Linked DNA regions of Drosophila melanogaster. The gene in region 1 interacts genetically with each later gene. Each region holds a gene or a part of one and is shown in the gene's direction. Other genes may lie near its edges. The genes, in order: SoxN and wor.

Region 1 (6,495 bases):
ATTTGAAATTACACAATAGCCCCCATAGAATCAACAACGACTTTGACTTATTCCTTTTCTTTGGCCAACTTTTTGCGGTTAAGATTTGCGTTCTTGTTGTTTTTGATGTTATGATGTTGCGTTGTTGTAGGTCAGTTACTGGGGCAGGTTTTGCATTGTTTGCCGGTCTTGCCTTTATTATTGTGCCCGCTTGCCCCAGTGTTTTCGCTCCATTGTCAAATGTTTAGCAATTGGCCATAAATTCATTAAGCCGACGAGCCCACATATCGGCTTTGTTTGCATTATACATTTTTAATGGGTTAGTAGCTCGATTCAAGTGTTTGATGACTTTGCAGGAAATTTGGAGACGATGCTTAAGGAGTTGTACAAAAGAAATTTTGATTGTGCTTTAAAGGGAGAAAATGTATATATATTATTTATCGAGGAAATGCAGTTTTTCATATAATTTGTATTTTATTTATTCAAGAACAAAAATGGTCTTCTATATTATTCGTAGTTTACGGATGCAAAAGTATGTTTTATTTTAGCCACAATGGTATTTTTTTTATTTAACACACAATTTATAATTAATATAACTTTTAGAAAAGCCCATAAATCTTGGTTTTGCTCTTCGAGTGTGCAAAAAATCTTCAATTAATCGACTTCCACCTGCACTGCAAGTTGGTGAGTAGTTCTCACCAGCTGAGAACTGCAATCCAATCACTTTGCACTGCTAAAAGTCGCACAAAAAAAAAGAGCCCAACATTTACTCATGGGCAACCCAAAAAACGGAATACCAGAGTCAGCTGAGGAAAAACGCATTCATCGCGGGGTGGTAAATTAAAGGGGGGTGTCGTGGTGGGGCAGATGGTGCCCTAAGACAATGCCGTAGGACGGGCTGGCTCATGTGGCGGATACGTGATACGTGTAAGCCAAACCGCATCAAAGTTCTGAGATACAACTGCCGACTACCGCGAGAGCAGGATACATTTGCAGCTGCACTTGCTTAATAAATTTTTCCATCTGCCGACTGCCTGCCTACACAATTATTCGTGAGCTACCTTGGCAAACCCATTAGGTTAATAAGAAGCGCAGCGTAAGACGCAGAGTGACTATACATACATATATATATATATATATCTATATTATATATCTTTTTGTATGTACATATAGCAGGGCCAAAAAAAAAAATAAAAAAGGAAACCAGGAAAAACTATGCGCGTGAGACGCGCTCTAACGGCGAAAACGCCGCAAACACTAAGGCCCCTGGGTCCCTGGATCCCTGGACTGGGTTGAGAGTACCCATGGCCCGCTCCAGCTCCCCCCGTCCATAGCGTTTCGGCCATGTTTAAAGCTCGAAATTTATACGAGAAATTCCTTCAGAGTCTCTTTCGGCAGCGGAAAAGCGGCAACAGCGCTTGCCATAAACGCAGAGACGACATTTTTATGGCAGCGTTGAGCGCAACGCGGATCGATATAGTGACGGAACGAGATAAAGATACATTCGTACCGCTCTCACCGTCCTCTGATTGGCGGAGCAGTGTGCGCAAAATCCAACCCAGCCAGCGCTCACCGCACACAGATGCACACATGCACAGCAGCGAGTTTATTTGATTTATTAGCAGGCCAGCCACTCGTATATTCATCTCGCTCCCGCACAGGCGACGGGCAATGGAAATGCCGACGCACACTTGGACAGCAGCGACGCACACACAGCTACTCGCGACTCAAGACCAGTTTTTCCAGCCACCCTGTCTGGCGGACCGCACCGCATTTACCGCCTCCTCGAGCGGCCAGCGGCAGACGGTCTCTCATTCGACTCTCGCATTCGCCGTCGTCAGCACACGCGCACGCAACGTACCGCACGGCAGTCGCAGCACGCCATCAGCAGCAACATCACGCAGCAACATCAACTCGGTTGTTCGCTGTCTCGAATTCGGTTTCGTGTCGTATCGTATCCGTATCGTTTCGCATCGCATCGCATCGGTGGTTCTGGTTCGTGCCTCGTCATCAGCTAGCCAAAAAGCGGTGATACGAAAGAAAGAAAAAAAAGTCATCATACAGCCAGGGAAAAAGCAGCGTAGAACGCACCTCGAACAGGTTTCGCCGTCGTCCGGAGAAACAGAAAGGTGCTCAATTCCGCCCAGTGTGGAGGTATTTTTTCGGTGTTCCCGCTTCTCGCATACGAAAAAAAAAAACAACAACCAAACCAAACCAAATATATTTACAACAAAATCTAATACAAACAACAACAATATTCTGAGGCAATTTCGCGTCGGGTTTTAGCAACAATTTTCAAGTGTTTTACGCCGCCTCTTGTTTGTTTGCTAGCAAACAACATATATGTATATCTGATATTTGTGACTGTGGAAAAAACGCAATTCAAGCTGTTTAGCTACAAATCCAAAGATAGCCGAGCGCCACATTTTTGATACGCGTAAAGATACGAAAAACTACGAAATAAAAACTGCAGCGAAAATCAAAATCTCAAAAATCACAAGTGCAACATGGTTTCCCAAAAAATGTTCAAAATGTCTAACTAAGCAAAGAGTAAACTAAAGCTAAAGAGTAACTGCATCTTAGAGGCGAGTATCCACGGAGAACCAACTTTGAGTCAAATCAGCTTTATCGCACCGAAAACTGGAAGTAATCCCCGCAAGATGCTGACCATGGAATCGGATATGAAAGGCAGCCTGCTGCATGCCACCATGCCGCCGCATCACACAAGTGCCGCGTTGCACGGACATGCGGCATCGCCGTACTCCGCCCTAGCTCCCCTTATGAACCTGGGCCAGTCGCACCTGACCCACTCGCAGCTGAGCCATCACAACCACCATCATCACCACATGAGCGCCCATATCGCGGCCAGCCAGAGTCCCAATCCGCTGAGCTCGCTGCAGTCCTCGATGGCGAACACCCTCAATGGCAGCCAGGTGGGGCAGCAGCAGCAGCAACAGCAGCAGCAGCAGAGCTCCCCGCTGCACAGCTCCAGCGAATTGAGTCCCACCCAGAGCAGCATCGGAAGCCATCACATGACATCGCCGGTCAGCCACCAGCAGCACACGCAACAGCAGCAGCACGGGCAGCAGCAGCATCTGGGCGCGGGATCTGCATTGAGCAGCCTAACTGGAGGATCCAGCAACAACAACAACAACAGCGCCACGGCCAACAAGAACCAACAGCACGCGGATCGTGTGAAGCGGCCTATGAATGCGTTCATGGTTTGGTCACGGGGCCAGCGGAGGAAGATGGCCTCGGACAACCCCAAGATGCACAACTCGGAGATCTCGAAGCGACTGGGCGCCCAGTGGAAGGACCTCTCGGAATCGGAGAAGCGACCGTTCATCGACGAGGCCAAGCGCCTGAGGGCGGTGCACATGAAGGAGCATCCGGACTACAAGTACCGGCCGCGCCGCAAGACTAAAACGCTGACCAAGACCAAGGAGAAGTACCCAATGGGCGGCCTGATGCCCGGACAGACGGTGGGCGGCGGAGCACCGGGTGAGCCGGTGACGCCCACGCGGGTGCAAGGTCAGCCTGGCCAGAACCAGTCGCTAAACGGTAGTGGAGGCAGTGCAGCAGCGGCAGCGGCGGCGGCAGCAGCGGCAGCGCAACAGGCGCGCCAGGATATGTACCAGATGAACGCGCCCAATGGATACATGCCCAATGGCTACATGATGCACGCAGATCCGGCCGGAGCGGCAGCCTATCAGACCTCCTACATGGGCCAGCACTACGCGGCGCAGCGGTACGACATGGGACACATGTACAACAACGGGTATGCGATGTACCAGACGGTGTCCGGCGGACAGACATCGCCGTACGGCAGCAGTCTCCAGCAGCCCGGATCACCGTCGCCGTATGGCGGCAGTAGCTTGCAGCAGCAGCCCGGCAGTCCGACTCCGTACGGCGGAGGTGGAGGCGGTGGCGGTCAGGTTTCCTGCCAGAGCCACAGCCCCAGCGACTCGAGCATCAAGTCCGAACCGGTGTCGCCCAGTCCCAGTGCCATAGCGCTCAACAACAACAACAACATCAACAACAATCACATCATGAAGCGGGAATACAGCTCTGCAGCGGCGGCAGCAGCAGCAGCAGCAGCGGCAGCAGCCGCCGGCGGCGGCGAGCTGAATCACCTGATGAATATGTACCATCTGCCGGATGAGCAGCGCCACCTGCTGCACTATCAGACTGACTCGCCCGATCTGCAGCAGCAGCACCAGTCGATGCAACAGCAGCAGCAGCACCTCCCGCAGCAACACCTTTCGCAGCAGCACCAACAGATCCCGCAGCAACACCATACCATGCAGCAGCAGCAGCAGCAACACCACCTGCAGCATCAGCAATCGCTGAGGGCGATGGCGCCGCTGGCACACATGTGAGAAATGGCCAGCGCCTATGGAGCAGCAGGCTCCAGTGTGAGCGTTTCGCCTCCACTGCCGCCGTACATGCCGACGGCCCCGCAGCAACAGCAGCAGCAGCAACAACAGCAGCAACAGTTGCTCAACGGACGGCCTAGTCCGACGGCATCGGGGTCGTCGGGCGGCCGCTCCTCGGCGCATTCCAGTGGCCATACCGCCGCGCATTCACCCGCCTTGGCAGCCGCCTACCAGCTGACCCCCTCCGCTGCCACCTCCTCCGCCACTTCGGCTGCTGCTGCGGCGGCAACTGCTGCTGCCGTTGCTGCTGCTGCGGCTGCAGGCAGCTCCTTTGCCGCCTCGGCCAGCATGCTGGACATGCAACAGCAGCATCTCGAGGAGCAGCAGCAGCACCACCACCTGCACTACCAGCAGCAGCAACAGCAACACTACCAGCAGCAGCAGCAGCAACAGCAGCAGCTGCAGCACCTCCCGCAGCAGCAGCAACACCAGCTGTACCATCACTATCATCCTGGCCACGAGGCAGCGGTGGCTGCCAGTGCTGGCCTCCTGGATATATCCACATTGTAAATTATTGAAAATATTAACTAAAGCCCTAGGATACGCACACCCACGCCCACAACCACAGCCACACACACACAGACACAATTTTAGCCTTAGTTCTTAAGCAGGTTTAATTCGAATTTCGAAGTGGCAGAGTAACACATGCGCATATAAATAAATGAGAATAGGATTAATGTTTAGTCATTTAAATGATGCATACGCACTGTTGTACCACAATAGTAAGATGACAACTCACTTGCATTCCATACCGTTCTGCTTCGATTTCCCTTGATTTCCCGCTTGTTGCATAGCTAAAACAATTGTGTGATACAAATAAACTGTTGCCAATTACGGGGACAACGGCAACAACAACAAATTCGTTTGGTTTAGCATTTCATTTCCACTCACCTTTTGCTGTACAAAACATTCTCAGACATTAAATGTGCGTTCAATTGAAGGGAGCAACGGGACGCGGAATCAAGCACAAGTTTAGTAGGAGTAAAGGCAGTTGTGGCGAGGCGATGAAAATATTTCAGAAAAGCAAAGAAAAATGTCAAAAAACATTCTATTTTATAAATTCTCTTATGCATTAAGTAATTATAATTATTATCTATTATATAAACAATTTAATTATTAATTATGCTTACAAATACCAGACAAGACAACCATAATTAATTGTAATAAAGCGAAAACAAAATTATTATTATTATTAAAACATAAATCGAATCGAAGGCAAGCATCTACTGCATAATACAAACACAACCAGAGAAAATGTTAGTAAACCTAAAGCAAATTTAGTAAAAACAAACCAAGAAGCAGCGTGCAAACGTGATTGTGAAACATGGCGCAAGGCAGCGAAAACAAACAAATCCAACAAAACATTGCCAAGCACCTGGAAATAATAAAAACAAAATCCACAAAAAATCCACGAAAAAAAAACAAATAAAAGAAAAATCTTTACAAAAACATCTCGCTACATTTTTACTATTTGCCGTCGGCAAAATGGGAGGATCCGTGAATTTTGCATACCGAATCGATATGCAGGTTCAGCAATGTGTCAGATGGCTTAAATTCCAGTTTGGATTTTATAGCTCCCCCCATTTTTAAGTGGGATGCGTAATTCCTTAGACAAAAGCGATTAGAGTAGTAAAAATCAAATGAAATTCACGCATTGTCAACATAAATAAAAATGTCATTAAACAAACCCTGACAAATTAGAACAAAACATGAGATGAGATTCCCATAAAAATGGTATGCCATCTACATTTATAAAATCCAGCCATGGCAATTATTTGGGAACTTCATGTGAATCGCATGCTGCAATCTGGCATTTCAATATTTATTTAAGTGCATTTTGTCAATGAGTAACTGCAATTTTCGTGACCGGAAGGCGACGCTTTGTAGCCAACACCGTCCAAACTAATTCCACCGATCATGCATCAAGGTTGAAATACAATTATTAGGAATTTTGATAATGCGATATATATCATATGCCATATTTTCAGAGCCGCTCACCAGACCCAGATTGTCCAATCACTCGGCTGTCGCGACGGTGAATGGGCCTACAAAACCCGATAATATCCACTTAATATGGCTA
Region 2 (4,863 bases), 6.6 Mb from region 1:
CGAAGCATCAAAGACCGATTAATAGTTTCTCAATTCCAGTTAATTATAATTCAAAAATCACTTTTCAATGTACCATCAGAGAACATTTCCTATTGTTACAAGGATCACAACACATCCCGGCCAGCTGAGTTCGTTACAGGATTTTGGCGCCAAATACCCGTGGCATGGAATAATCAGTTCCAAGACGAAATCAGTTCCTTGTGGTACGTGTCACAGTCGGCAGATGTGGGAATAGATGATGATCGGGGGGTGCGACTCTCCTTGCAAGACGCTCGACGAGGGGTTGGCTAGAAAGTAACGTCCAAAACTGCAATTCCACCACCATCACCGGCTTTATTCCGACGAAGGTTGTCTGGTGATGCCGTGGATTTTGGGGTGGGACCACTGCGCCAGGTAGATTTGCACGAACCTCTCTCTTTTGGCGCATTCCAAGGCACTCAGCTCCGTTCGGAAAAATAAAGCCAGGTAACTGTCCGGGCACATGCCCATTTTGGGGTGGATTGGAGGTCGCTGGCAGATGGCGGGATTCTTTAATATCGGGAATTGAAATTTCATGGCCGTTAGGGGGTTATTTCTGCCGAGTGCACCGATACACGAGGAGGCGGAGAACCGGAACAATACTCTGGGAAAGGTTGATTTACCTTAGATCTGCGCGCTGTTTGTCCTGGTGATTAATATTTTTGTGGACGTCTAAGTGGGTACATTGCATTGTAGCTTGGCTCGATTTAATGGCGGAGCCAATGTCACGTGCTGATCCTACTCAGCTGCCAGCCGGAGAGGATCGCTCCGATAAGGATCAATTGGAATCCTAAGTGCTTCTTTTCTTCTGTAACAGCGTGCGATTTTATACAACAAATGAAAAGCTTTGAAAGAGAAAATAGAACAACTTTCCTGTACCTTTATTGTAATATCTTCTATCTTAATGATTTTAATTGAGAACGTTTTAATTATTATGGTATTTAAATATTTGGGCATAATTTCCTAAGTCGAGCCCCTGAAAAATCTTCACACTCTCCGATCAGCAAAGTCAGCCGAATATGTGATCGTTTAAGCTCAGCTCAGAAAAATTTGAATAGTAAACATAATAAGAAGCTTAAGAAAACACAGCTGAATTATCCTCCGAATAGCACAGAAAGCTATCTCTTAAGTTCGTGGGACGACTGACAGTTGGAACAAGAGCGCCCCAAAGAGCGAAGAGAGTTGAAAATTGTGGGGTACGAAACTTCTCTTGGTGGGGCTCCAAAGAGCATGCTCACCTGCTCACGAAGAGCAAACGTCCATTAGGCTTATATACAAAGCGATCGTGTGAGGCGGACCCGAAAGAGGCTTATAAATAAACTTGATCGGGTATATAGCAATAGCAAGCTCGCCACCAGCTGCCGCTCACTCATACCATTGAAATTCAGGGGAAATACGAGCTGAACCAGAGAGGCAGCTGGTGGCGATCGGCGAGTGGAACGGAGAGAGTCCCTGTGGCACGTGCTCGCTTTTTACACACAGATTTGTTCCTCTCGTCTCCAGGTCCCTCCCTCTCTCAACGATTCTCTATATGGCAGTGGTACCCCCGGACTGCCCGATCTGCAGCTGTATCTGCGTTCAATGAACGCACAGCTGTGGCTCGATCGCTGAATGGATCTTTTGGCTCGTGGTTCGGGGTGGATTTACAGAATCCCGGGCGACATCGGAAGTAGGTAGACGCCAAGATCCTTTTTGCCCAGGGGGTTGATCATCCTGCCAGGGGGTTGATCGGGAGTCTATAAAACCGGACTGATCCTTGCCGGGTTGCATCATTCGAGCAAGGAACTCCAAGCGATCGAGACGCGTGTGGCGAAAGCAAATGAGTGAGCAGTGATTTAAGTTCAAGGATCGGTATTAAATACAAAATCGAAGATCAGTGATCAGTAACCATAAGGAATAATAACATAGCAACCATGGATAAACTCAAGTACAGCCGCTGCCCGCTCAAGAAGCGTCCGATAATGGTGGAGGAGTCCAGCCCAGAGGATCACCTAAGTCATGGTAGGTTTAAGGCTACGGAAGTGATTTACAGGCATATTTTAACTTTATGCTGATTTCAACAGATGAAGGACCAGTGGACTTGAGTGTGGCCTCGGCTGCAGTGCCTATGGAGCCCCATTGGATGGCTAAATCCGAACCGGAACCTCAGCCGGTGCCCACGGAATTGAGGCGCCGCTTCGATGCAGCCATGAATCAGACCAAGGAGCAGTTGGCCCGTCGCATTTGGGAGGAAACCCGTGAGATAGCCCGCGCTTTTCCGGATGTCTTCACCCGGGAGGAAATCGCCAAGAGTCTTGCTCGCCTGGGTTACGGCGAGTTCGAGTTGCCACCTGAGGAGGAAGTAATGGAGCCGGAGCCGGAACCAGAACAGCATCTGCCTCTTCGATATACAAGAGATGCTAGCCCAACCATCATCAAGGCTGAACCCTCTGATGAGGAACAATTTCCCCTGCGAAACTACAATAACAACCTACTCAAAAGCATAGCCGAGTATGAGGACTGTATGAAAATGCAGAACATCAAAGAGGAGATACCTCCGATTCCATCACCCCAGTTGTTCTATCCACCCCCGACTCCACTGGCCGAACCGGAGGACCTATCCGTAACCCAGAGGAGAGTGCTGAGCGAAAACATGAATCTGCAGAATGTGGCCAGAGCTTTGCTGAGCATGCAACACATGGCTCCGCAACATGCGCCGCCTCCGATAGACATGGAAGAGGATCAGGAGAATCAGGACATCAACCAGCTGAAGATCAAGAGCAGCAATGATCTGTACTACCAGTGCCAGCAGTGCAACAAGTGCTATGCCACCTATGCAGGATTGGTAAAGCATCAACAAACGCACGCCTACGAAAGCACCGAGTACAAGATCATTAGAAGCCAGCCTGGAGGATCAGGTGCGATAGTCGACCAAACCGAGTTTTGCACGGATCAAGCTTCGGCTTTGATTCAGGCAGCTAATGTAGCCTCAGCACAGAGCATGCAAAAGCCAGTGGGAGTGCCGCGATACCATTGCCAGGATTGCGGAAAGAGCTACTCCACCTACTCGGGACTCTCTAAGCACCAGCAGTTCCATTGTCCGTCGGCCGAGGGCAATCAGGTGAAGAAGGTCTTCAGCTGCAAGAACTGCGACAAGACCTATGTGTCCTTGGGCGCCCTGAAGATGCACATTCGCACGCATACCCTGCCCTGCAAGTGTCCCATCTGCGGCAAGGCGTTTTCGCGACCATGGCTCCTCCAGGGTCACATACGCACCCACACGGGAGAGAAGCCCTTCAGTTGCCAACACTGCAATCGGGCCTTCGCGGATAGGTCAAATCTCCGCGCGCACATGCAAACCCATTCGGATGTGAAGAAGTACTCGTGCCCCACCTGCACCAAGTCCTTCTCGCGTATGTCCCTGCTGGCCAAGCACCTGCAAAGCGGTTGCCAGACTGAGCAGAGTGGAGGTCCCAGTGGGTCAGGAGGGGGCTTTGATCAGCAGCAGCTACAGCAGCACCTCCAGGTCTACGAGGAGGGACACAATCCACACCAACTCTACTACGCCGGCAGTGTGGGCAGCAGTAATGGTGAAGAGGAGGAGGGCGGGGAATACCAAATGCAACCACCGGCCATTTATTAATCTTAGTCAGTTTAGCCAAAGTCAGAAGTCAGATTCAGGGAAAAGTCAGTGCCAAAAATTAGTCAGGGCAATTTTATTGCCTCTTAGGGTCTCTAGTTTATCAGAAATATTTATTTAGAGTTATCGCTAAATTATTCCAAAACTCATATCGCAGTTGAGAGCTTAGCATTAGATTGTTTTCGTTGACAATTCCTTGTATTATAGTTCGTTGTTAAAACTCATTCGTGTACAAATCAAAAAGGTGCCAGATAATTAAGCCCCAATTCATACGACATACCTACCAACTTATAATTTAATCTTATAATTTATTTTACCTTAAACATTATGATTTAAGCCTTGTAAATATGGTGAAGGTAGCCATTTACTTGCATGTATTTAATTTTAATTTTTTTAAATAAATAAAACACAAGAAAACAGAAACCACCAACACATTTAGTTTTTTTGAGTTGAGGTAAACAAATTAATTTCCCTCATTCTATTACTTTACCTATCGGACGAACGGTTCGAATCGCATCGCAATCTAAAAGATGCCATCTCGGATATGCATTGTAGGTGTCGTTTATTTATCGCTGCACTCGAAATGAAAATCCACAGAAATCGAGACATTCAACCGTCAGGGAGACTCGATGGGGGGTTACAAAGAGCTAGGAAAGCAGTCTATACATATGAAGCCGTTTATATGTATGTATAGAAATGTATTGAAAATCGCTGCTTAAATCAAAATTAATTGCCAGAATAATAATTGTTTTGAACGTAAAGCGCCGAAATGCAAACGGCAAACCAGAGGAGAATTGGCGCAGCTGCAATTGCAACTGCAACTGCGACTGCGTCACCGTCAACCAGCAACACTGCAACTAGCAACATCAACAACAGCAGCAGGCGGCAAGCGCCAACAGTCTAGTATTTTTGTGGGCCTGCTGCAGTTGGCGAAATCCACTCAAAACAACAAACCAAGCGATGAATCATCGATTTTGTTTTCGGTTTTTTTTTTTCTTCTGTTCGTGGCAAACTGAAAAAATCAACAAAGCCGGCTTTTGGTGCAGCCGCACGCAGCTAGATGGCGCTAGTGGGCAGCCAGGTTGCAGGCAGGTAAGCTCAATTAAACGCGTTTTTCAGTTGCGCCGCTTTTCCGCTCTACAGCCCAGCCGCACCTTACTTTATATAGCGAAAAGAACCCCACCCACCCTGCATCCTCATCTGGATCTCAGGCAAGCCGCTCAACT

The links.
Region 2: of SoxN (region 1) and wor, changing one enhances a phenotype caused by changing the other (phenotypic enhancement), as found in Drosophila melanogaster (one study listed by BioGRID).

What each region holds. Positions count from the first base shown.
Region 1 is NT_033779.5:8,823,855-8,830,349, forward strand, and holds SoxN (SoxNeuro), read left to right. Parts: upstream 1-1,790; 5' UTR 1,791-2,639; coding exon 2,640-4,358; coding exon of another isoform or gene 4,359-4,925; 3' UTR 4,926-5,816; downstream 5,817-6,495.
Region 2 is NT_033779.5:15,422,499-15,427,361, reverse strand, and holds wor (worniu), read left to right. Parts: upstream 1-1,781; 5' UTR 1,782-1,931; coding exon 1,932-2,019; intron 2,020-2,081; coding exon 2,082-3,640; 3' UTR 3,641-4,065; downstream 4,066-4,863.